Linked DNA regions of Mus musculus. The protein of the gene in region 1 interacts with the protein of each later gene in a biochemical or structural test. Links are inferred from orthologs where the notes say so. Each region holds a gene or a part of one and is shown on either strand. Other genes may lie near its edges.

Region 1 (3,500 bases):
TTCTGAGTCTGAAGAAAAAGGAGGTGATAGCATGCCAGTGGCACGCATGTTCAGGTAAAAGTGAGATGCAGGAGTGAGATGCAGGAAAGAATGGAAGAGAATCAAAAGGAAGTGTTTATTCTGAAGAAGGTGAACAGTCTCTTCCTATCCCTCTGATGACTGATGCAAAATAGAAATTGGCCGGTGCGTGGGGCGGAGCCTGCTCTAAAGTTCTATAGGTTGTTGTTTTGTCTTAGTTTTCTATTTTTTTTTGTCTCAATTTTAGAAAAGTATCCCCTGATGATGTGCAAAGAAATAAATATACCTTGGACGCCAGGTAAGCGGAGTTTGTCTAATGGTAAGCTCACTCTCGAAACCGTTGCTTAGGGTCAGGTTATGAGTTGTATTTCCACCCAAGTAATTAATGTGGGCTGTGGCATAGGCAGGCCCATGGAGGGTTATGGTCTCTCAGAGAAGTGAGGTTTAGGGATCCAAGTGGAACGTGTCGGATGCAGACCTCGGTGATGTTATCAGGCTTTCTGATATCCATGGATGCCGTTGAAACTGAAAAGCAAGTAGGACTTTCAGCGATTTGGAAGAAAAATAAATAGAGAAGAGAAAGGATAGGGAGGAAGATAGGTGTGGAGGGAAGAGAGGAATGCCTGTGGGGATGGACACAAGTCAGCGTGGGCCTGTTCTCTAGCTTGTTCACACAAGACTTCACTAGGAAAAAAAAGGAAAGGGGGCTCACCTTCTGTAGATGATGGTTCAGTTAAAAATGAAACACCTAAGATGCAAGAAGCCGGTGTGCGGCAGCGGAACATTGTGAACAAATTCTGAATGCTTATTAAGCACCTAGCCCTTACCTGTAACTGTTGTGGGCTGGTGGCTTAGGGTAGGAACAAATAAAATAGAACTCTTTCTCTGAAAAAATTTGGAGGTGGCCACTGGCATTAAGGAAATACTTATAATTAAACACGTGTATATTCAGAGGCTGGGGAGATGGCTCAGCTGTGCAAACATGAGGGGCCTACGTTTGAATTCCAAGTGCCCCTATAAATAGACAGGTGCAGTAGCGCACACACCTAGAACTCTCAATGGTGGCCGAATGGAGATGAGCGATCCACAGCCAGCATAACCAGTCAGTGAGCTCCAACCTCAACAAAAGAGACAGCCTCAAAAAGTAAAGTGTGTCACAGCCAAACATCGGCTTGAGCACAGGGACCCCAGTGGAGGAGTTAGGGGAAGGACTGAAGGAGCTGAAGGGGCCTTATTGGGCATCAGTGGGAGGCAATTGGTCCTATGAAGACTCGATGCCCCCGTGTAGAGGAATGCTACGGCAGTGAGGCTGGAGTGGGTAGGTGGGTGGGAGAGCACCCTCAGAGAAGCAGGGGGAGGGGGAATAGGATGGGGATCTGTAGGAGGGAAACCATTGGAAAAGGAGATAACATTTGAAATGTAAATAAATAAAATATCCAATTTTTAAAAAGTATAAAAAAATCCAACTTATAACAGAAAAAAAAGAGGAAAGTGCAAGGTGGGTGTGGTGGCACACATCTTCAATTCCACCACTCAGGAAGCAGAGGCAGGCAGATCTCTGAGTTCAAGGCCAGCCTGAGCTACAGAAAGAGTTTCAGGAAGCCAGGACTACACAGTGAAACCCTGTCACAAAAACCAAACCAAAACAATAAAAAAGGTGGAGAGTAACTAAGGAAGACCTCTGTCACCAATCTCTGGCATGTGGCACGCACATGCATGCACACACATACCATACAGACATATACACAAGCACGCACACATACATGCACACACATACATGTGCACAACCATACCCACGTGATCAGTATTCACATATTTATATGACACACATACGCTGTAATTACAAAATATGGCCAGAGTTAAAGAAGAACAGTAGTATGGTAAGAAATGGAAAGATAGCCCTAGGGTCACCTTTTTGTAGAGAAAAATTGCATTGAAGTGCAATGCAAAGAATAAGGTGTAGTGGGATGAAATTGGAGAAAGAACTGGGGACATGCTATGTTGCATTTTATTGGGCATTTAAGGGTTTCCTGGGTTTTGCTGAATGCAAAGGTAAGGTTTGTAGAAGGTTTAGGGGAGAGGGAGACACTATCAGACTAAGTTTTCACAGCTAAATTAGGGTAGGAGGAGCTGGGTGTCAGTCAGCAAGCCACCATTGTAGGGGCCTGATGGCTGAGCTGGAGTAAGGATGCCAGAAATGACGAAACATCAGCAGATGGGAGTGCTGCAGGTTGGAAGAATTAGCAGGCCTTAAGGATGGGAGATGGGGAAATGGAGGGAAAGAAACAGGTCGCTATAGGCAACCTTGGGCTTGTGCTTTTTCTGTGGTCCTTGTGGCGTACAACTGAGTGATTCGTTTTAATACTTGTTGAGGTGGGGTTCATTTCTTCTTTGTAGCTGCTAGAGAGGATGCTTCATCATGTACAGCCAGAGGGGGTGATCTGTTATACTGAATTCTCTGTTTAATATGGGAGGTCAAGAGAAAAAGGAAGAGGGAGATGTTTTTTTGTGACTCAGGAGTTCTGGCAGACATTATTAAAAACAATAAGGGAAGAATCATTTTCATCATACATGAAACACTGAACCTCAGGGTAACAGCAATATCAATCTTATCTAGGTTTAACAGCGATTTTGAAGACATAGAAGAAATTGGCTTAGGTGGATTTGGTCAAGTTTTCAAAGCGAAACACAGAATTGATGGAAAGAGATACGCTATTAAGCGCGTTAAATATAACACGGAGTGAGTACCTGTCTTGCTCTTTGAACAGTGTGTTGAACTCCCAGCTCTCGCCTTTATGTGCCTATCCTTCTTTGCCTGCTAATTTCTTTCTGGTCCTCCTTGATTTTTTTTTCCTGACTACAAGAGTTTGACTTATCCTGAAATGACCTTACCTTACTAACATTGGTTATTTATTTCAGTTTAAAATATGACTGTATCATTTTGAGATAGTGCTGAAACCTCAAGCTGTTGACTTAACTTGGTCTAAGGAGGTTTCCTCAATTTTCTCCATTTTGAGGCTCCCTCCTCTCTGATGTTTCAAACTTGTATCACATTGACCTAAAAAGAGCCACAGGCTAATTTCAGGAAAACCGCACGGTGTCTTAGCTCTTGAGCCCTGTTGCTGTAAAGCTTTCATTGTACAGAGTCTTGGCTTCTTTGCATAAACTAAGCCCCTCGATTTATGTTTGTCACACAGTGAAGTTTCTAAGTTAGGCTCTGCTTGCTGCTTGGGTTGACTACCCTTGCTGCCCAAATGGGACTTGTTTGTGAACTTCAAAGATTTTAACACATCTTCTCAACAGAGTATCAACCATGATGTAGCTATTGAAAACTGTTACAGACAGTCAAAAGGAGATGCAAACGATGCATACCTTTGGATAGCTACCATTTAAGCCTCTGTCTTCTTCTTATACATTGAGAATGAGAACAGCTGTGGTTTGGGATATGGCTTTACTATTCATTCAGTTTTCTTCCCTTTTGA
Region 2 (4,114 bases), on another chromosome or scaffold:
CCCTCCTCCCCCCGTTGCCCTCCACCGGACCTGGAGAGCTGTCACCGGCGATGCTCGTGTGGAACTCAGGTGTACGGGTGTCAGCCCCAGCTTTTAGCCCCCACCCCCTACTCGAAGCCCCGTCCCCACTCGACTTGAACTCCCGCTCCTTCCAAAGCCCCCGCCCCTGGCCCCCCGGGACGGACACGCCCTGAGCGGGGGATGCTGCGCTGGAGTCGCCGGCCTCTTAAAGGAGCCTGTGGCTGCCATCCGGCGCGATCCAGGCTCCTTCCTGGAGGTGTTCTACGGCAGTTCCACTTTGGTCCTCATGCGGAATCTGTAGGATCCCCTTGTGACCTGTCTTACAGATTCTTTCCTACACCCCGAGAGCGCAGTCCATCAGTATACACAACGCTCTGGCACTGGTCCCTTGTCATACCGACATCTCCAGCTGGCCTTCCCTCGTCGCTGCTCCATTTTCACCCAATTGGAATCCACCCAGCCGTAGGTCCCTTCCCACTTCTGTGCTCCTGGATGACCGATCGCTCGTTTTCATTACTGATTCCTCTTACCTCTAACCCTATTCCTTTCTAGCAAGACATCTTATCCTAGACCCATTTTAAAAAACACTCTTTGAATCACGTTTTTCGTGGTATCACTTTCTCCTTCTGTCCAAGGTCACAAGATTTCCCATATTTCTTTCACTCTGGTGGTATCAAGGCTTTGGAGAGCCAAAGGTAATCGTTAAGCTCTGCGCGTATATTAGTTCGTTAATTATTCCTGTGCTCTTTCAGGTGAGACTAAACACAGAAGGTCCATCTAATGATTCTCGGGACAGTTAAAAGAGGTTCACTAGGGCTGATCTAAAGAGGCACGAACCCTGTCAGGCTGCGTGGAGTTAGTGAAGAGAGGCGAAGGACAAGCCACAGAAAAGCAACGGGTTTTTTGACACGGAGTGCTGAGAAGCTTACGCTACAGCCTGGGAGACCGGGTCTGAGGAGAACTCCGGACTTATAAAACCCCAGAGCTCTGGGGTGGGGGTGGCCAGGTAAGGCACACCCTCTGGGGCAGCAAAAGGACTTCGGCCAATCACAGCCTTTCCTCAAGGAGAAGGCTACACCTTTCCTCGTCTCCGCCCTCTGGGCCAAGTGACCAATCTGCAAGCGCCTACAGGAAGTCGCTCTCAGTATAGCCAATAAAGCAGCGAAGCCCGCAGCGGCGCCCGAATGACGCGCTGGCGCCTGGGTTCTGTAGTTCTCTCAGGGAGACAGACCTTACCGCCCCGCCCCTGGCCGCCTACACGCAGCTAATACGCATGCTCACAGTGTCGGCTTGGGAGGAGGCGGTGCGCAAGGAGGAAGGCGGGAATGACATTAGGAAAAAAAAAAAACCAAAAAAACAAAAAACCCAACCCACTCGTAGTAGCTTGGGAAGCTTCCGCCGAGGGTCTGCTCCTCCCAGAAGGCGGTGCAGATGCCCGGGCGAGTCTCGCTGAGGGTTGTGGGGCGGGTAGCTCGGATCCATAAGAAGACACAAGGAGCCGAGTGGGCGGGGGACTCCAGATCCCAGCATGCCCCGCGGCGGGCCCTACCGGCCGCGACTCCGGGCTTGGCCCCGGCCCTAGCTCCTCGGCGGTGTACTGGGGTGCGTGGAGGCTGTAGTCACGGTGGCGCCCGCGGGGACGGAGGAGGGAATGAGTGAAGAGGATCAGGGCTCCGGCACTACTACAGGCTGCGGGCTGCCCAGGTGAGCTGCCTCGCTTGGATTCCTGAAGGACGAAAAGTGTGAGGTGGTGAGGAGGGGCGGCGGCGCGGCCCCAGCATGCACCTGGCCTGAGGGTTGTTCCCAGCAAGCACTGGGGTAGTGGGCAGAGGTTCCCGGCATGCACTGGGGCTGTGGCCAACGCCTCCAGCTCTAGTTTGGGGTTGGCTTGATTCCCAGACTGCACTAGAGCCCTGGGCTTTATGCCCCGACGTTCAGTGTATTTGGTGGGTACTGGGTTCCCGAATTGTATTGTGTCGGGGGAAATGCACGTTCAACCAGCACCACGGCACAGGATCCCTCGCCTTAACTGAGAACAGTACATTCTCCACTTGCCTTGGGACCTTGCTTTCCCTCATGCACCTTAACTTTTAACCCAGCCAATGGATGCTATACTGCCTGGGAATTCATGGACCCTATAATGTGGCTAGGTCTAATGTGACAGTGATTTGCCAGGTGGGTGCCGAAAGGGGAAGTGTGATGTTGGTCTGTGCCCCTTCCCAGCATAGAGCAAATGCTGGCCGCCAACCCGGGCAAGACCCCGATCAGCCTTCTTCAGGAGTATGGGACCAGAATAGGAAAGACGCCCGTGTACGACCTTCTCAAAGCCGAGGGCCAAGCCCATCAACCTAATTTCACCTTTCGGGTCACCGTTGGCGACACCAGCTGCACTGGTGAGGAAGGCCTGGGCAGCCTGGCTGGGGTGTGCATTCACAGGGCCCGTGGCTTAATATCATGCGATCACCTCACAGTCCTCTCCTTTAAAGCCAGGGAGGGATGGAGATATTTCAGGGGGAAAGAAGGATTGGAACAGGGCTGTGAGACGGTGGACGGGACCCGAGAGACTCACTGGCGAGAACAGGAAATGTCACAGAGATCTGCTACTTTATCACCCCAGAGGAAGAGTAAATGAGACATTGAACTCCTCGTGGGTATTAGGGGGAGCACATACTCTGCTAGCCTTCATGCCTCACATTGAACACGAAGAACTTAGTATGAGAAATTAAATGGTAGGCTCCAGTTCACATGTAATAAGTGGCAGAGCAGAGCTTTGACTTCAGACCCTCAGTTGTCTCTATTTCCTATTTACCGAGGGAAGAGAAAAGGGGAAAGAAAGACAGAGCAAAACATCCCTCCGCAACCCACCAGTGTTGGAGCTCAAAAATCCTGCCTGGCACAGTTTCATTACGGGAGCTGACTGAAAGAGGAGGTGTTCAAGGCCCATTTCTGTTGCTGTAGTAAGGCTCCGAAACTAAAAGCAGTTTAGAGGAGGAAAAGGGTTGATAGGTTTACAGTTCAGGTTACATTCATGACTAAGGGAAGCTAAGGAAGAAACTCACATTATCAGTCAAGACCAAAGAAAATAATCTGATTCTTGCTACTTCTGACTAAGGAACTCACTTCACAGCCACAGAAGCACAGCAGGAACAATGGCAGATACTCCATGCTGGCTGGCTGGCTTATTTATACTCTACTAGATTTCTTACACAGTTCAGGACCACCTGCCTAGGGGTGGTACCACAATAGTGGGCTGTGCATATCAGCATCAATTAACTATCAGTCCATCCCCCCCACCCACCCCCAGACATGCCCTCAGGCCAGGCTGATGTAGGCAATTCCTCAGTTAAGGCTCTCCTTTCAGATCCTTTTAGATCCTAGGTTGTGCCAAGTTGACTGTTAATGCTAACTAGGAAAAAGGCTAGTCCAACAATTAGTAGAACCCTTCCAGTTCTGACAGGGGAGGTTGGTCAGAGGGCTCTTCTCACTCCCTCTGGCTATGAGGAGATAGGCTGTGGGGGCTGGTTTCTCTGCTGTCCTGCCGGTGACCTCCAGTATTGCCCACGCCCCTTTTCTTAGGTCAGGGCCCCAGCAAGAAGGCAGCCAAGCACAAGGCAGCTGAGGTGGCCCTCAAACACCTCAAAGGGGGGAGCATGCTGGAACCAGCCCTGGAGGACAGCAGGTGAGGGAGGAACAGCCAAGGCACACTAGAAGCCCGCTGAGAACCCAGGCCTCTGCACTATCTACTTCTCTCCCTAAGCCTGGTCTGGTGACTCATGGCCACCCTCTCGTGGCCCCTTCCTGAGAATTTCCTCTGAAGCTGAACAGGGTGTTTCTAGAGTGCCTCAGAGTAATAGCCAGCCCCCTTTGATGGGTGGTGGCTGCTCTGGGGCATGAGAAAAGGGCATAGGGGGTGGAGGCAAAGACTGATAAAGTTGGTCCTGGCATGCCCCCTCTTTCTAGCAAGATGGCTTTCCCTCTTCCACATTCAGGTTGCAGCTTGTTGGGTAGAAAGAGACTCTTTTCTGAGCCCCCACCCTAACCTCAGTGCTTCTGAGCCAGTGTGGGGTCAGCAGAGGATCCCAGGAGGAAGAGC
Region 3 (4,211 bases), on another chromosome or scaffold:
GTTTTGGAGGCTGAGGCAGGAGGAAAATAAAATAAAATAAAAATCAAGGTCAGCTTGGGCTACATAGTAAGTCTCTGATTCAAAAACACAACGAAAAACACTAGCTGTTGTGAAGAGAATGCACACCACAAGACTCCAAGTTGAAAGAGCAGTTACAAGATGGGAGGAACTTTAGTCCAAGAGAAAGATAACAATGGTCTAGACCAGAGGTTGTCAACCTGTGGGTTTTGATACCTCCCCTGACTCCAAGGATTAGGTATTTACACTATGGTTCATGCAAAATTATGAAGTAGCTACAAAATGGAGTATGTAATTTCGTAAGTTATTAAGTAGTAACAAAATAATTCTAGGGCTGGGGTCACCACAACATGAGGAACTGAATTAAAGGGTTATATCATTAGGAAGGTTGAGAACCACTACTGTTCTAGAGCACAGGTAGCAAGAGAAAGAGAGATGCTGACTCAACAGTTGTCCAGAAGACAGGGATTTATGGCAACATAGACACAAAGACAGGGGGAAAAGGGGACAGGACAGAGTCAGCAAGACAACCTCAAAATTCTATTGACCAACTGACTCTGGTGCCTCCCAGCGGGGGGAAAAGGAATGTAAGAAAGAAAAATGAGTTTAAATGAAAAGATGGTTGAGTTCAGGACAAGAGTCTGAGATGTCTTTCCCTAATATGCCCAAGCAAAGATGCCCAGAAAGCACACAGGCAGATATGTCTGTTCCTGGCTGAAGACAAAGATTTCAGAGTTACAGTCTTTTTGTTTGTTTGTTTTTTGTTTTGTTTTGTTTTTCAAGACAGGGTTTCTCTGTATAGCCCTGGCTGTCCTGGAACTCACTCTGTAGACCAGAACTGCCTTGAACTCAGAAATTCACCTGCCTCCAGAATTATAGTCTTTAGATAGTAGTTGAAGCGGGGAAGGCTGAGAAGTTACGACAGGAAGACAGGGCTGTATGAGAGGGATCTAAGGTAGAGCAGTTGAAATAGGTTGCTCATCTCTAACCCAAATGCACTAAAATGGAAAATGGCTTTTCTTCTTGAACATTTCTCCCAAATATTTGAAAAATGACCAGCTAAAGTAGCAACGCAACTCTAACCGTGTGTATTTCCATAAGGAAACTTCCAGTGCATACTTACAACCAATCTACCCCACACACAAACATTTAAAAAGCTTCAGGTTTTTTTTGAAGTTGCTCCAATAAATATAGGCAACCTCAGGTCCCCATATTTGAATATATGATATGCTCAGACTAGCAGACAGTGGAACTTTAGCTTTTTCTAATTTTTCTTTGTATATTTACAAATTAAACTATTTAACAATTTTTATGCTTTCAGCTAAATAGGTATGTAGGAAAATAATGTCCACGTTTACAAATGGCAACTCTGGTAACCATTTTCTCAGGCTTAGACTAAAAGAAGGCATTAATCTGAACTTTAAAACTTCATTGGTGTGTGACCTTGGGCATGTAGCTTATGAAAAGGTTTTTAAAGTTGCCACTTCATGAATAAAAAGAGGAAACAATTTTATACAAAATACTTATATAGTATTTAGAACTAGAAGCTACTGTGCGCTGCAGCTTGAAGGAATACAGTATGGGAGTCTTCTATGTTTCCCTGATTTTTCATGGACACACACTCAAGCGTGGTAGGTACCAAGAATCCGAAGTTCCAGATGTGTCCATAAAAAGGGAAACTCGGAAAATTCTGACGGCGTGGCTACTAGCCTCTGCGCTGGTAACTTTGTAACTTTGAAAGGCGATAGCACCCACGGACTTGGCTATCGGAGCTCCAAGAATATTTCCAGTTTTTAATTCTTAAGAGGAACTTTAGCCGGCTCCCCAGGTACTGGAAAGTGTGCAGGATGCTGGGAGTGTCTGAGCTTCCTTACATCTTAGCGAGACAGAACTAGGGAGCGAAACAAATGAAGTTGATCCTGGAGTCTCTTGTCTTCAGAGTACACTCCCACAGCCATCTTAATTAAAAGGGCGCTTTTCCTTACTGAAAAGCAACATAGAATCAGGGCCTCCAATCCACATGGTCATGGGGAATTAACTGCATACAGACCTGTGCAAGTTATGTCACCAACGGTTACTCTGAAGGTGAAAGTGGGCACGTGTACTTGCACATCGGATCTTTCACATTCATAAACTGGAATGTTCTTGGTCTTCATGCCGTACTCGTGCAATACCTGAATCGGTGTTTTCCCAGGCTTAGCTGTTATCATCTTGCCCAAACTGCAAAAACCAGAAAAAAACGTAGGCATTGCACGTCAAAGCTGAAAGGGAAGCAAAAGCATCCACTTCTCAGTTTTGACAGTCACAAATGGTGACAAAAAGGTTCTGCAGCTCCCCAGCGGCCAGGATCAGTGGCAAGGCCTGGGCGAGCACCTGTCCCCGGGTGCTGCAGCCCATGGAGGAGAGTGGAGAGGTCTGTACAGAGAACTTGAGAGCGGTGGGAGGGATGCTGAAAGAAATCGGGTGGGCTTGGACTAGGCAGCTAGACACCCGGGTCTGCGCCTCAACACTGATCAAGTCCTCCCGATCGGCTAGCTGCCTAGGGTCACTAGAGGGGCGGGGCGCGCAGCAGACCCCCAGGGCCCGGAGGGCGGGCCCAGCGCCACGCCGGGAGAGGGGGGAGCTTTACCCAGAATGCTGCCCGACAGCCGGCTCCCTGCCCCTGCCCCGCTGCCCACCCGTCTTGGGCCTTGAGGCCTCGACGGCCCGGCGCTGACCTGAAGGTCCCGCTGTCCTCGCGCTGCAGCGGCGGGGCCTCGGCACGATGCCTGCTATGGGACATGGCGAGAAGGGACGGCTGGCCACAGCAATCAAGAGAAGTGTGGATCTGGGTCCTCCCTCTCCACGTCGGCCAGTTCCCGAGAGGAGCGTGCCCGCGCTGCCGCTTGGACGCCCCTCGAATCGCTGCCTGCCTCCCTCCAGCTAAGGGACAGGAGGAGAAGGAAGGAGAGGCGGGGCCTCGGCGCGGAAGAGCCGGCCACACCCCCTCTCTGCCCAGCCTCTCTGCCCCGCCCCTCTCTGCCATGCTCAGCCCCTCGATGTTCTTGCTCCACTTTGCCACAGTGCTCAGCCCTTTCCCGTTCCTCGGGCTCCGCCCTCTCTGCCAAGTTTCTGTCCTTCCCAGCTACCGCCCGCTCTCTAGTTGGGTTCCCAGAGCTTCTCAGAGCCCGGCCCCGCCCCTCCTGCGACCTGGCTCCGCCCTCTCTGCCAGTCCGGGCTCTTCCCAGCCTCTGCAGGCGCCTCCCCCCACCCCCCGTTCCGCTTCCAAAGCTTCTGAGCGCCCGGCCCCGCCCCTCACCCTTCTAGGCCCCGCCTCCATTGCATGTCCCGGCTCTTCCCGGCTCCTGCCTGCACCCCGCTTCGGTTCCCCGAGTTTCCCCTCCCGCCTTTAGTGGTGCAGAGAGCCTCAGTCCTTTGTCCTTAAAGGGAGGTGGCTTCCTTCTCAGCGAGAAAGCTAGTAGTAGGCTACGAGCCTAGCATGTTTGAGGAGCAAGGAAAAAAGATTAAGGGTTGGACTACTTTAAGAAAGATTTAAAAATTCGAATGGTAAATTACTAAGAAAATTGTGGATCTTGGCCCCGAAACTTGAGACCCGAGAGCGTCAGCTAAGGGGCAGCCAGTGGCTTTAAGAGCCCTGGATCCCTGGGCCCGCTGCTGTCTGGCGGGCCCGCTGCTGTCTGGCGGACTCTTGTGACCTGCTTAGGATAGTGGTTTTCATTCTTCCTAATGCTGTGACCCTTTAATTCAGTTCCTCATGTCGTGGTGACAACCCCTTCTCCCCCTCGCCAACTATAATATTATTTCTTGCTACTTCATATCTGTAGTTTTGCTACTATAATGCAACCCCAGGGGACTTGCAACCCACAGGTTTAGAACCTCTGCTTTGGGAACATGTGGGATCCCCAAAGAGATGCTGGAGGTGGAGTGCATAGCAAGGATATTTAGACCAGTTTCCAGGATTGCTCTTCCGGTTGACCTGTGCAATGGAGAGTGATGACGTTAACCTGGAACGCTCCACCTACAGAGTATGTTGTGGGTGTGTTAGCGCTTCAGAGCGTCTTAGAATTTGTGAACTATTTGCACAATGGCTCCTGTGTTTACTTAATGCTCTAGAATTGAATTCTAGAAATATTCTTACTGAGAGACTCCTAAAAGGTTTTTTTGTTTGCTTGTTTGTTTGTTTGTTTGTTTGT
Region 4 (3,500 bases), on another chromosome or scaffold:
TCCTCCTCATCTGGCTCTCAAAGCAGAAGGTAAGGGACTTGAATATATGTACTTAATGGAGGATAACACAGTCATGCTTGGTCACCTCACCTTGTCATTTGTATAGAGAAATCAATAAACATGTTTATTAGGTGATCCCATTCAAGCAGCCACTGTTTTAGGGTTTGTTCTGTTTAAAAGATTTAAATTTATAGCTGTTTTACCTGCAATACTTATGGGCCACCAAGTGGGTTAAAGAATTTTATGAGTTGCCTTTTATATGGCTGTGTATCAGGCTTAGAGGGCTTTGCACATATTAGATACTCTGTGGCTGAATTTTGTATTACATCCACCTTTTGTTTTGCCCTACCTGTATACCTGTAATAGGATTTGTGGATTCTAGTCCTGCTGAAAATTTTATTTGGGTTATTAAGAGCAGAGTAAGATTTTGACCAGGTTTCTAACAAATACTGAAACACAATTTACAGCATCTATCCTATTGTTTTGACTTGAACAAATTATAAAACTATATACTAATCTGTCACTTTAGAGTTCATGCATATTGATGTTTGCCTGCAGTACCTGCGGAGGCCACAAGAGGCCACCACTCCACAACTGGAGTTAAACCTGAGCCTTCATGGGTACTGCATATCAAACATAAGTCTTGTAAGAGAAACCAGTGCTCTTTATCTGCTGAACCATCTCTTTTGCATCCCACTCTGGTTTTATATAGAGTCAAAACTTTTAGGGGCTACTAATTATTAGTCCTGGGGTTAGCTTTCTTTTCAGAATTAGGTTTTGTGTTTCTGTTTTTATTTAGGCTGTAATTTGGAGAATGAATTTACACTTTCAGATTCTCCTGTTTCTACTTTCCCAAAGCTGGGCTTCAGGCTTGTTTACCACACCCAGTGTTATTCTGTGGTGAGGGTTGAACCCATTGCTTGCTTGGTGCTTTGTAGACATCCTAGCATTGTATTAAACAAACTTCATTTTCAGCATCTCTAAATGTTTTACTTAAAAAGATGTATTGCTTTTGGGCCAACCACGGTGGCATACTCACCTTTAATCCCAGCACTTACTTGGGAGGCAGAGGCAAATAGATCCTCATGAGTTCAGAGGTGTTCTGGTCTACATACCAAGTTTTGGTACAGCCAAAGCTAAATAATAGACTGACCTCCCCTGTGTGCTTACATATTGTATTTGAGGACCCCCCCCTTTTTTTAATAGCACAAGTGTATAGAAGACAGGACAAAATACATTCAGCATCCAATATAGACTCAGATTATTAGGTTCATACCTTTACCAGCTAGACATTTCCTAGTCTGGATAGTTTTGTGCTTTGTTATTTATGTATAAAAACAACTGAAATAAGTATGTCTTAAAGTACACATTAGGGGGCTGGAGCGATGGCTCAGCAGTTAAGAACGCTGACTGCTCTTCCAGAGAGGTCCTGCCTTCAATTCCCAGCAATAGCATGGTGGCTCATGACCATCTGTAATGGGATCTGATGCCCTTTTCTGGTGTGTCTGAAGACAGCTACAGTGTACTCATGTACATAAATAAAGTTTAAAAAAAGTACAGATTAGTGCTTAGGAGAAACTCAACCAAGTATGAGTACTTGTGTTCTGTACCCCACCAGCATCCATATTGTGTAGACAGATGGTTCTGTGGGAAAGTTGGCCTGCTAGGTACCTAAATATGCTAGCCCAGTGAAAAGCTGGTCAAATGAGAAAGGGTTTATTTATTCTGCTTTATAGTCCATGACAAGATTGAAAGTGGCAAAAGCGTGGACAGCTGATCACCTGGCAGAGAGCAGGGAATTTGTGCTGTTAATTGTTAGTTTTCTATTTTCATTATCCAAGCAATGGGACACTTACAGTGTCTTATCTTCTCTCATTAACCAAGACAATCTCTAACAGACCATACTACCTTGGGATTAAGAGTAAAGTTGCCAGTTAACATTAATTATCAGACTAAACTACTTGACTGCTTCCTGGAGGTTACACTATGGCTTCCACATGCATAGACATAGACAACCATAAATAAATAGGCTGACCAATACAGTCCTGATTATTTCAGATGTCCTTGCAGATTATTGAAAACCTGTATACAAACATGTAGTCAGGGACATTTGTTAAAATATGTAGCTTTCTTCCCCCAAACTTGGTTAGTTAAAAGAGCAATTTTCTTTTTTTAATAGCAGAAAATAATTCTGGAGTTGAGTCTTCTGGCTATGGCTCTCCTGGACCTACTTGGGACCGAGGAGCCAACCTTAAAGATTACTACTCAAGAAAGGAAGAACAAGAAGTACAAGCGGTGAGGAATCTTACATAGTGTTAATTTACATTTTTGAAAATGCGACTTGGGATTTATTTCACAGCAGAGTTGAGTACCTATACAAGTTAATAGCACATTGAGTTGTTGATTTGTTTGTTTTGAGACAGTCTTCAATCCCAGGCTGGCCTTCATTCCAGTGGCCCTAGCTAGAAAGCCTATTTTACTAGTTGGTTGCATAACCCTGGTGTACATGCTTGTAGTCGCAGCATTAAAGAGAGGGTCAGGAGAATGACTAGTTCAAGGCCAACCTGGATTATAGTGTTCTAAGAACATAGTGATATCCTATCTCAAAAACAGGCTCAGGCTGGAGAGATGGCTCAGTGGTTAAGAGCACTGACTGCTCTTCCAGAGTTCCTGAGTTCAAATCCCAGCAACCACATGGTGGCTCACAACCATCCGTAATGAGATCTGACGCTCTCTTCTGGTGTGTCTGAAGACAGCTACAGTGTACTTATGTATAATAATAAATGTTTAACAAAAAAACAGACTCAGTGATAAAGTGGTTGACTAGCCATGTTCAAACCCCTGGATCTCAGCACTACAAAAATAAAAATCTGACTTTATATTGAAAAAAAAAAACCCAAACTGTACATTATTATTGTACCTTATGTAAGTGTAGTAGTGCAGCCAAATTTACTCATCATTGATTCTACAGACTCTAGAGTCAGAAGAAGTGGATTTAAATGCTGGGCTTCATGGAAATTGGACACTGGAAAATGCTAAGGCTCGTCTGAACCAGTATTTCCAAAAAGAAAAGATCCAAGGAGAATATAAGTACACCCAAGTGGGTCCCGACCACAACAGGTTTGCTTGTTTCACTATTTTCCTTGTAAAAAGTTAAGGTGGTTTGACTTTATGCTTATTAATTAAATGTTACTCAGTTAACTGTGTGCATCAGCAGTGAATTGTAAAAAGATAAATATATAAGAATTACTGACTTGTAGTTTACCATACTTTTTTTAAAAGAATGTAATGCTATTCTATTAGAAGTCCTGCAAAAATCTGTTGCTGAACTTTGATGTCAGTTAATATCTACTGTGGTGGTTTGCTACTAGTTGACCTAATTGGCCGGAGGCGGTGATCCCTCCTCCCGCCCAAGTGTAGTTATTGGCGATATCTTTAAATACTTAAATGGTTCTGGTATGTTTTGTTGTCTTAGAAGTAGATTGTATGTATTACCTATA
Region 5 (4,108 bases), on another chromosome or scaffold:
AATAACAAACCCACGTTATTTAGCGATGTGTAAAACGTTGCTGCCATATAGTGTCTGTTCAAACAGAGCAGCTATGGGCGTAACCTACCTGATTAATTTAACGACAATCTTGTCCAAGTTCTTATGTCTTTGAATGAAATAGGCACAGTAAAGAAACCCAAATAGACACTTGGTGGGTGTATAAGAGAAAAGTTTATTCCAAACTAAGGTCATTGCTTGGGAAAGCAGAGGGCTAATACTGAAGACTGAGCAAGTAATGGGTAGGGACTTTGTTATGTAGGGTGAGCTAAAGGCACTGGAAGCATTTTAAGGATGCATCAATAGATACTTAGTCTAGGGCAGGAAATAGCCCCAGAAACCATTAAGCCAACCTAAAAAAAAAAGTGATTCTGGAAGTTTCTTTGGCGAGACTGAGAGGACTGCGGATTTTAAGAGAGCCACCCAGACCAACTGTGAGACTTGGTAGAATGGCTCTTGCATCTCTGATCCACTAGCAGACCTCAATAGTGTCAGGTCCCCCAAGAAATTCCTTTCCCCCAGGTAGGGCATCTAGACAAAAGCCAGCATTCCCTCGGGGTGGTGGTGGTGGTGAAGATAGTTCCTACTTGCTAAGTGGAGTTATTCTCCTATCTCTGGGAAAAGGGACATTTGGCTCTTCCATTAACTTATGACAGTGGGGTCTATTAGCCCGTCAAGGTCCCATATAACCCAGAAGATAAATCCCCACCATCACCCCAGCCCGCGCAGCGCTTCTCTCTGCTTTCCCGAGAGACAGCCTTCGCAGTTTGGAATAAACTTTTTTTTTCCCCTTTTCACCCACGGAGTGGCTATTTGGGTTTCTTCCCCCATTTCATTCAAGAAGTCCAGTCATCTCTCTCGGACGTCCCTGGAGACTTCCTGAGACTCTCTGGCCTTACCAGCCCAGGCGGCGGCGCCTTATCCCCCAACACTACCCGAAGGAATCTGGGCTCGCTCCAGGAACCCGCCGCCCCTGCCAAGCCAGCCCGCGAGGCCGGCCCAGAAGGGCTCTAGGGCCCGCGCATGCGGACTCGGCGGCCGCAGCCCGGCCTCCCCAGCCTCTTCCTCCTCGGCGCTCGGCGGCGGTTTGGAGCCCGCTGACAGCTCCACGACCAGCGGACGCAGCCTCGTCTTGTGCTTCCACGTTATCCTATCAGAGGCGGGGCGGGGCGCCAGCCCCCACAACCAATCAGCGCCAACCACGACCCGGGCGAGCTGGGCCGCTCTGTGGCCAGAAGGAAGGCGATTGGGCGGCGGCGGCGCCCGGGGCGTGGCTCCGCGGGCCCCGCCTACCGCTGTTTTCCGCCGCCGGGCGCCAGCCGCCGCTGAGGCCCGAGCGCTGACCGAGCGAGCGAGCGAGTGGACGGGGCGCTTCGCTGCGGGCTGTTGGCCGCGCGGGCTGCTGGGCCGCGCACCTTCCTGCTCTTCGGCTCAGGCGCCCTTGGACATGGTGGCCCCCGGCTCGGTGGGCAGCCGGCTGGGCGCGGTGTTCCCGTTCCTGCTGGTCCTGGTGGACCTGCAGTACGAAGGTGAGTCCCGCCCTGCTCCCGGGGCGGGCTTCGGGTCCCGGTCCCGGCTGGGAGCGGCGCTCCGGGGCGCGAGGCTGGGTCCGAGCCCGGTTCCGGTTCCGTGGGCTGAGAGGCGGGACTGGCGGGCCGCGCGCGCGAGGCCGGTTTCGGCGGCCTGGGCCAGCGCAGCCGGGAGTCCGGCGTCCGGGGGACCCTGGATCGGGGGTGCCGGGAGGAGGCGAAACGGCGGCATGCACGGGACGGGTCCCGGTTCCGGAGTGGCGGGCCAGGGCCCTTTCCGAAGCCAGTCCCATTCCCTCACGACCCCGCGTCGGGCGCGCAACTTAGGCTGGTGCCTGGAGAAGCCCACCTCTGGGCTCGGAGCTCCCGGCGCCTAACTTGCTGGGCTGGCTGTGGCTTCACAGTTCCCAGCAAGGCGACATTCAACTTTGTCCCCCCACTGACGTTACTTTTTCTAGTCATCGCAAAAAAAAAAAAAAAAAAAAGTCTCTTAAAAAAAAAAATAGGGAGCGCTTACGTTTCACCCTGGGCTCCAGACTGGAATGTTGGCTACTCCCAACAGAATAGCAAAAAATAGAGGCCTGTCCTATCTTGGGTGTCAGAGCGGGGAGGAGTTAGACATTGAAGCCCCAAATGCCCACTGAACTTCCCAACTTGGTTACGGTGCTGTAGTGACATCTGTCCTGGGCACTGCTCTGTACTCATTCCTGTAAGTCTGGGGATAGTTGTCATGGAAAGAGTAAACAGTTGAATATTCCATTTGGAGGGACTGAGGAACTGAAATTGGGAACAGTTTATGATGAAACCATCATAGAAGTCTATGCGGGTTTCTTTCTTTCTTTTTTTTAAAGACATATGCTTAGGTTTTTAACCATTAAAGGTATGGTTTTTGTTGGTTTTGGCTTCCTGATCACCATACGTTCTTTGAACCCCAAATCAGAATGTGTACTGTGGCAATATTGAGACCAATAATTTGATGTTGGAGCCAGCCTCAAAAGTGAGGGGATTGGAATTTGAAGGCCTGGACCACTTTAGTATGGGTCATATGTTCTAACTTTCTTTCATTTTCTAATTCTTTCCATCTGCATTGATTGTGCCCAGTTATCATTAGTGACTTATTTTAGTAACTTAAGGGAAAGTTGTCTATGCTCTACTTAGTGTCGATTTAACTTACTCTCCAGACATGGGAGTGCTTATTTTTGTTTGCCTTACCTCATCCAGGAGCTTGTAGATCAAGCACCTTATTCGAGTTTCTGTTCTTTGCAGGATTAGGACTTTTAGCATTTCATCTCTCTACTGTGGTATTTCTATAAGAAAACTCCGAGTTTTCCCGTCAGGAAAGCACCAGTGGCCTCTCTGAGGAGAAAGCCAGTGTTGCTTTTCCAGGAGTATTACCTGTGCAGAATGGCAGGTGATGGAGAAGGAAAGAGCATTTCTGTAAGCCAGCTCTTATTCCACAGAGATATGTGATAGTCTCTGTGTTACACATCTGGGAGCTGGTGTTCCAAGAGCTTAATGAAAATTTATCTTGGGACTGGAGAAATGGTTAGTGTGTTTGTTGGCCTTGCAGAAGACTGGAGTTGCATTCCTAGTACCAGATCAGGATGCAGTGAGTTAGTTGTAATTACTCACAACTCAGTCTTCTGGTTCCACAAGCACCCAAAGAGGGGTGTGTGTGTGGGTGGGGGGTGGGGAGAGAGGGAGAGAGGTGGGGTATGAGAGAATGAGAGAACACATGCACACACATGAGCCCTTGTGTGTGTGTACACAGAGTAAAGAAAATCTTTAAAAATAAAATTTACCTCTGTATGAAGGTGGGAACAGGAAATTGTACATAGCATTCACTTCAAGCATTTTAAAGTCGGACGGCCGAGCAAAATCAGCCTTTTAAGTTAGCAATAGAAAGTGACAGGGGGGGTGGTTTCCTGGCAGGCTCAGTGTAGTGGTCTTCCCAGGTGTGCTGGCTCATACCTGTGATTTCAGCAATCAAGAAGCTAAGGCAGGAGGATTATCATCAATTAAAGAGTGTTAGGCCACTCTGAGCTACTGTTTACTTTGTCTAAAAACAAACCCAAAACCAAAAGAAAACCCAAGACCAAACAACCCTCCCCTAAACAAAACAGAACAAAAACCAAAAATCCTCAAATACCAAAACCTGCTTTTCCTCCCAAAACAGTGGTTCTCCAGCTTGATTGTATACCAGAATCTCACATAGAATACTTGTAAGAGTTGGGCACACTTACAGAACGTCTGATTTAGTAGGTCTTGATGGAAAGTGAAATTTTCATTTCTGAGAGGATCCCAGATGACCACATTTTGAGAATCACTGGTGTAATAAAGTATCTGTAGGAATTGAATTAGAGGTTATGCTGTTTGTTAGAATTGGTGATGAGGTTATTAAGATACAGAGTAGCAAATTGTTAGCTTCTGTTTTCTTAAATGGCTTAGTTATATCTGGGTCCATTAGCCTCTGTCTTGAGGAGGCATGCAGGTCAGGTGCTGCCACACTGCACTTAAGGCTGCAGAGAGAAGACATAAGGGAGAGTTCTGTGAGAACAGGA
Region 6 (3,500 bases), on another chromosome or scaffold:
CCACCTCTTGAAGGCTCTACGACATCTTAGTAGCACTACCTTGAGGACAAACTGGACCTGACCTTGAAACCTGAGCTTTCAATGGGATTGTGTAGTGTTTCCTACTATAGACTCTTCTTCTTTTTTATTTTTTTAATTTTTTAAAAGATATTATTTATTTTATGTATATGAGTACACTGTGGCTGTCTTCAGACACACCAGAAGAAGGCATCCGATCTCATTACAGATGGTTGTGAACCACCATATGGTTGCTGGGATTTGAACTCAGGATCTCTGGAAGAGCAGTCAGTGCTCTTAAATGCTGAGCCATCTCTCCAGCCCCCTGCTATAGACTCTTGATGGAGTGTCTATTTTCCTCAAAGGACATGTGTATTAAGAGAGGGCAAAGGCAGCTGGGTAGTGGTGGCGCACGCCTTTGATCCCAGCACTTGGGAGGCAGAGGCAGGCAGATTTCTGAGTTCAAGGCCAGTTTGGTCTACAAAGTGAGTTCCAGGACAGCCAGGACTACACAGAGAAACCCTATCTCGAAAAACCAGAGAGAGAAGAGAGAGAAGAGAGGGGAGAGAGAGAGAGAGAGAAGAGAGAGCGAGAGCGAGCGCACGCTGGGTATGGGCAGTTCATACCTGCCATCCCAGCACTTGGGAGACTGAGGTTGGAGGGTTGTTCGGAGTTTGAGTTCAGCCTGGCCTAGGATATTTAATGAGCTCCAGGCCAGGCGGGGCTTTGGCTCCAAAAGAAAGTTAAGAAAAGGAATGAAAACCCAACTAAGTCAATACTTAAACAAAAGACATTATGTACTTGTAATAATTGATGTAAATTACAGTGATACAGTTCATTGGTTCGTGGTGATATTGTGTCCAGCTGCATTAAGAGTATCTGGTGACAGGATCAGGGTAACCATATTTTAGAGGTTAAGACAGAGCAGATACTTTAGTCTATTTAGACTTACTAGATCAAAATACCTCCCTTAGGTTGATAGTCTCTAAGCAATAAAAGCCTATCACCCACAGATCTTGTGGCTGGAGTCTGAGCAAGATGCTGGTGGACTCATTCTCTGGGGAAGGACTTCCTTTTTGTGTGCGCCTATGGTGGAGGACATAAAGCCTCTTAAGATACTTACTAATCCCGTGCACTCAGGACCACTTAGTCCTTTTGGGTGGTGGCAGTCTGGATGTGTGTAGCTTTCAGCCTTCCAGCCTTGTTGAACAGGCAGTCCCTGTTTCTGCCACTGTGCTATATATTCCAGGCTAGCCGGTCCCTTCGTGGGCCTCAGAGTGTGATGCTGCTGTCTCCTCTTATCCTCCCTGTCATGTGTATCTGGCTTTTAAAGTGGGTTCTGAACCTTGAACTTGTCTGAGCAAGCACCTGTGACACACAGACACGTGTGGAATTCATGACAGAGTTTTCCTGGGAAGATGCCGCACACACCTCTTCAGCCCAGGAAACAGACCCCACAACAGCCAAAGTAACAGTTGTGCCAGTGTCCAACTTGGCAGACTAGTAACTTTTTACTGGGGATAATAGCAGGACTGTGGGTAAGGGGTTTACCTCTAAGGAGCAAGAATGGCTCAAAAAGCAGCTCCCTTTCAGATACTGCAAAGCCCACCCCGATGTGGGTGATGAATTATAAAACCTACAAGCCTGCTCCCCTGTCTAAAATCTTCTCTTTAGCCTGGCTGGTCAGAGTCTTTATCCAGCAGTTCATTTTATGAAGCTGGGAGGGACCTTCAGGCCCTGCTTTCCTAGATCTGTGGCCATTTGTCTCCCCCGCCCTCCTGGAGGGGTGTTTCCCTGGGAGGAAAGTGCACCACAGTGACGTCAGAGGGCCACCTAAGGGGCCAGCTCTCTTCCCCCTGCTGGGCCCTGGGGTCAACTCCAAGCTTCAGACTTGGCAAGAAGCATCTTTACCCCAGTTATGTTTCAAAGGGGAGAATTACAGTATGCTTGTCTAAAATTTGAAATTAGAACATGCTTGTTCCCATTTGCACCTAGTGTATTCCATCTCTGGAAACATGTTTTAATAGGTCAGGCTCACGTGTGACCCCAGAGACCCCAGAGTGGGAGGAGAGAAGCAGGTCCTGCGGGCTGTGCTCAGGAGTCAGCGCCTTCTGCCGTGTGGGGCCTGGGGTGGAACTCAGGGTGTCCGGCTTGACCCACTGACCCTCTCAGGTACCTGGAGAGAATAAATACATGTGCAAATTTGGTTTCCTTTAGGAAGCAAGAAGTGATGCGGCTCCTACTCCTGTCCCACAGAGTGCACCACGGAACACGGTCACCCAGTCTGCTTCTGGTGATCCTGAAGTAGACAAAAAAATTAAGAATCTAAAGAAGGTGAGGCTTGAATGAAAAGCAGATATGTGCACGAGAATTAAGAGTGGAGCTCAGGAGCTTAAAACAGGGATTTAAGAAGTTGGTAACAGTGCTCATTGTTGCTTTCTTTCTATAGAAATACTGTAATTGAGAAAAGACCTCAGCTCAGTTCCATTCACCAATCTTTAATGTCGGAAACTACTTAAGTGTTTAATTTTGAAGTAATGAGGAATGATAGGGACACATCTGTGTAGAGAAGGCTATGAGACTGGAGAGTGAACCCAGAGCTCATGCGTGCTAAGCAAGTACTCTCCTGCTGAGCCACATCCCCAGCCTGGAACATTTACCTCAGCATCTCATGAGCTACAAGAGAAATTTTATTTATTAAATGAAATAAATACCTTATATCAAATAAACAAATACTTTATTCCAGGTTTTTTAAGGAGCACACACACAAAAGGGAGCTTATGGTGTATAAGGGCAGGTCTGGGGTTGAGGCTTCTCTGAAATGCAAAGGTACCGCCCAGCCACTGTGGAGGTCTGAAATAGACGCTGCATTTGTGTTACACTCATGAGTCCACGCCTGGACACTCAAGCATCGATGAAAAACTTACATGCAAACCTGACAACCCAAGCCTGCTCCGAAAACCCCCAGAGAGATGAAAAGAAAGGGAGAAGAGACTCCACAGAGCTTTCCCCTGCCCTCCATGTATGTCCTGCAGCTTAGCACAGAATAACTAAACAACAAAAACTTGCAAAACCTATTTTACACAGCCCCATGTATTTAAGCTATAATTTTATATTTAACTTTTAACAGGAATTTATCCTTGCATTTTAGCAAACCATTGTTTAGAGAAATGAAGTATGGTTGTTGTTAATACAAGAATCTGCAATAGAAAGTAACTGTTTCTTCCTTCTCCTTCCCCACTTTTGATTTCACAGAAACTGAAAGCCATAGAGCAGCTAAAAGAGCAGGCAGCCGCCGGGAAACAGCTAGAAAAAAATCAGGTAAGCCCTCGCTTTCCCTTTGGTTCAGAGTCGTTAGCACCCTGTCCTATTTAATATAGGCAACCCTTCAGTCAGAAAGAGAAAGCATGCACACTGGTCCAGACTGTGGTGCTGAGTCACCGTTCCCCAGGGGTCCTGATGCTGTCGCTGTAGAAGTACTGACAGTTGTTGGGTTAGGTAAA

What was found.
Region 2: the proteins of Eif2ak2 (region 1) and Tarbp2 form a complex in vitro, tested with the Homo sapiens proteins (2 studies listed by BioGRID, with this or other methods). The link is inferred for Mus musculus from reciprocal best matches to the Homo sapiens genes EIF2AK2 and TARBP2.
Region 3: the proteins of Eif2ak2 (region 1) and Prkra form a complex in vitro, tested with the Homo sapiens proteins (3 studies listed by BioGRID and IntAct, with this or other methods). The link is inferred for Mus musculus from reciprocal best matches to the Homo sapiens genes EIF2AK2 and PRKRA.
Region 4: the proteins of Eif2ak2 (region 1) and Dhx9 form a complex in vitro, tested with the Homo sapiens proteins (2 studies listed by BioGRID, with this or other methods). The link is inferred for Mus musculus from reciprocal best matches to the Homo sapiens genes EIF2AK2 and DHX9.
Region 5: the proteins of Eif2ak2 (region 1) and Dnajc3 form a complex in vitro, tested with the Homo sapiens proteins (2 studies listed by BioGRID). The link is inferred for Mus musculus from reciprocal best matches to the Homo sapiens genes EIF2AK2 and DNAJC3.
Region 6: of the proteins of Eif2ak2 (region 1) and Eif2a, one has a biochemical effect on the other in vitro, tested with the Homo sapiens proteins (4 studies listed by BioGRID, with this or other methods). The link is inferred for Mus musculus from reciprocal best matches to the Homo sapiens genes EIF2AK2 and EIF2A.

The regions. Positions count from the first base shown.
Region 1 is NC_000083.6:78,865,573-78,869,072, reverse strand, and holds part of Eif2ak2 (interferon-induced, double-stranded RNA-activated protein kinase), read left to right. Parts: intron 1-265; coding exon 266-316; intron 317-2,635; coding exon 2,636-2,758; intron 2,759-3,500.
Region 2 is NC_000081.6:102,516,878-102,520,991, forward strand, and holds the start of Tarbp2 (RISC-loading complex subunit TARBP2), read left to right. Parts: upstream 1-1,314; 5' UTR 1,315-1,672; coding exon 1,673-1,725; intron 1,726-1,775; exon of another isoform or gene 1,776-1,967; intron 1,968-2,244; coding exon 2,245-2,414; intron 2,415-3,597; coding exon 3,598-3,700; intron 3,701-4,114. UniProt on the Homo sapiens protein: Required for formation of the RNA induced silencing complex (RISC). Component of the RISC loading complex (RLC), also known as the micro-RNA (miRNA) loading complex (miRLC), which is composed of DICER1, AGO2 and TARBP2.
Region 3 is NC_000068.7:76,645,057-76,649,267, forward strand, and holds the start of Prkra (interferon-inducible double-stranded RNA-dependent protein kinase activator A), read right to left. Parts: upstream 2,801-4,211; coding exon 2,736-2,800; intron 2,239-2,735; coding exon 2,069-2,238; intron 1-2,068. UniProt on the Homo sapiens protein: Activates EIF2AK2/PKR in the absence of double-stranded RNA (dsRNA), leading to phosphorylation of EIF2S1/EFI2-alpha and inhibition of translation and induction of apoptosis.
Region 4 is NC_000067.6:153,477,661-153,481,160, reverse strand, and holds part of Dhx9 (ATP-dependent RNA helicase A), read left to right. Parts: coding exon 1-29; intron 30-2,179; coding exon of another isoform or gene 2,180-2,182; coding exon 2,183-2,295; intron 2,296-2,971; coding exon 2,972-3,120; intron 3,121-3,500. UniProt on the Homo sapiens protein: Multifunctional ATP-dependent nucleic acid helicase that unwinds DNA and RNA in a 3' to 5' direction and that plays important roles in many processes, such as DNA replication, transcriptional activation, post-transcriptional RNA regulation, mRNA translation and RNA-mediated gene silencing.
Region 5 is NC_000080.6:118,936,624-118,940,731, forward strand, and holds the start of Dnajc3 (dnaJ homolog subfamily C member 3 precursor), read left to right. Parts: upstream 1-1,308; 5' UTR 1,309-1,465; coding exon 1,466-1,547; intron 1,548-4,108. UniProt on the Homo sapiens protein: Involved in the unfolded protein response (UPR) during endoplasmic reticulum (ER) stress.
Region 6 is NC_000069.6:58,553,321-58,556,820, forward strand, and holds part of Eif2a (eukaryotic translation initiation factor 2A), read left to right. Parts: intron 1-2,214; coding exon 2,215-2,331; intron 2,332-3,252; coding exon 3,253-3,318; intron 3,319-3,500. UniProt on the Homo sapiens protein: Functions in the early steps of protein synthesis of a small number of specific mRNAs. Acts by directing the binding of methionyl-tRNAi to 40S ribosomal subunits.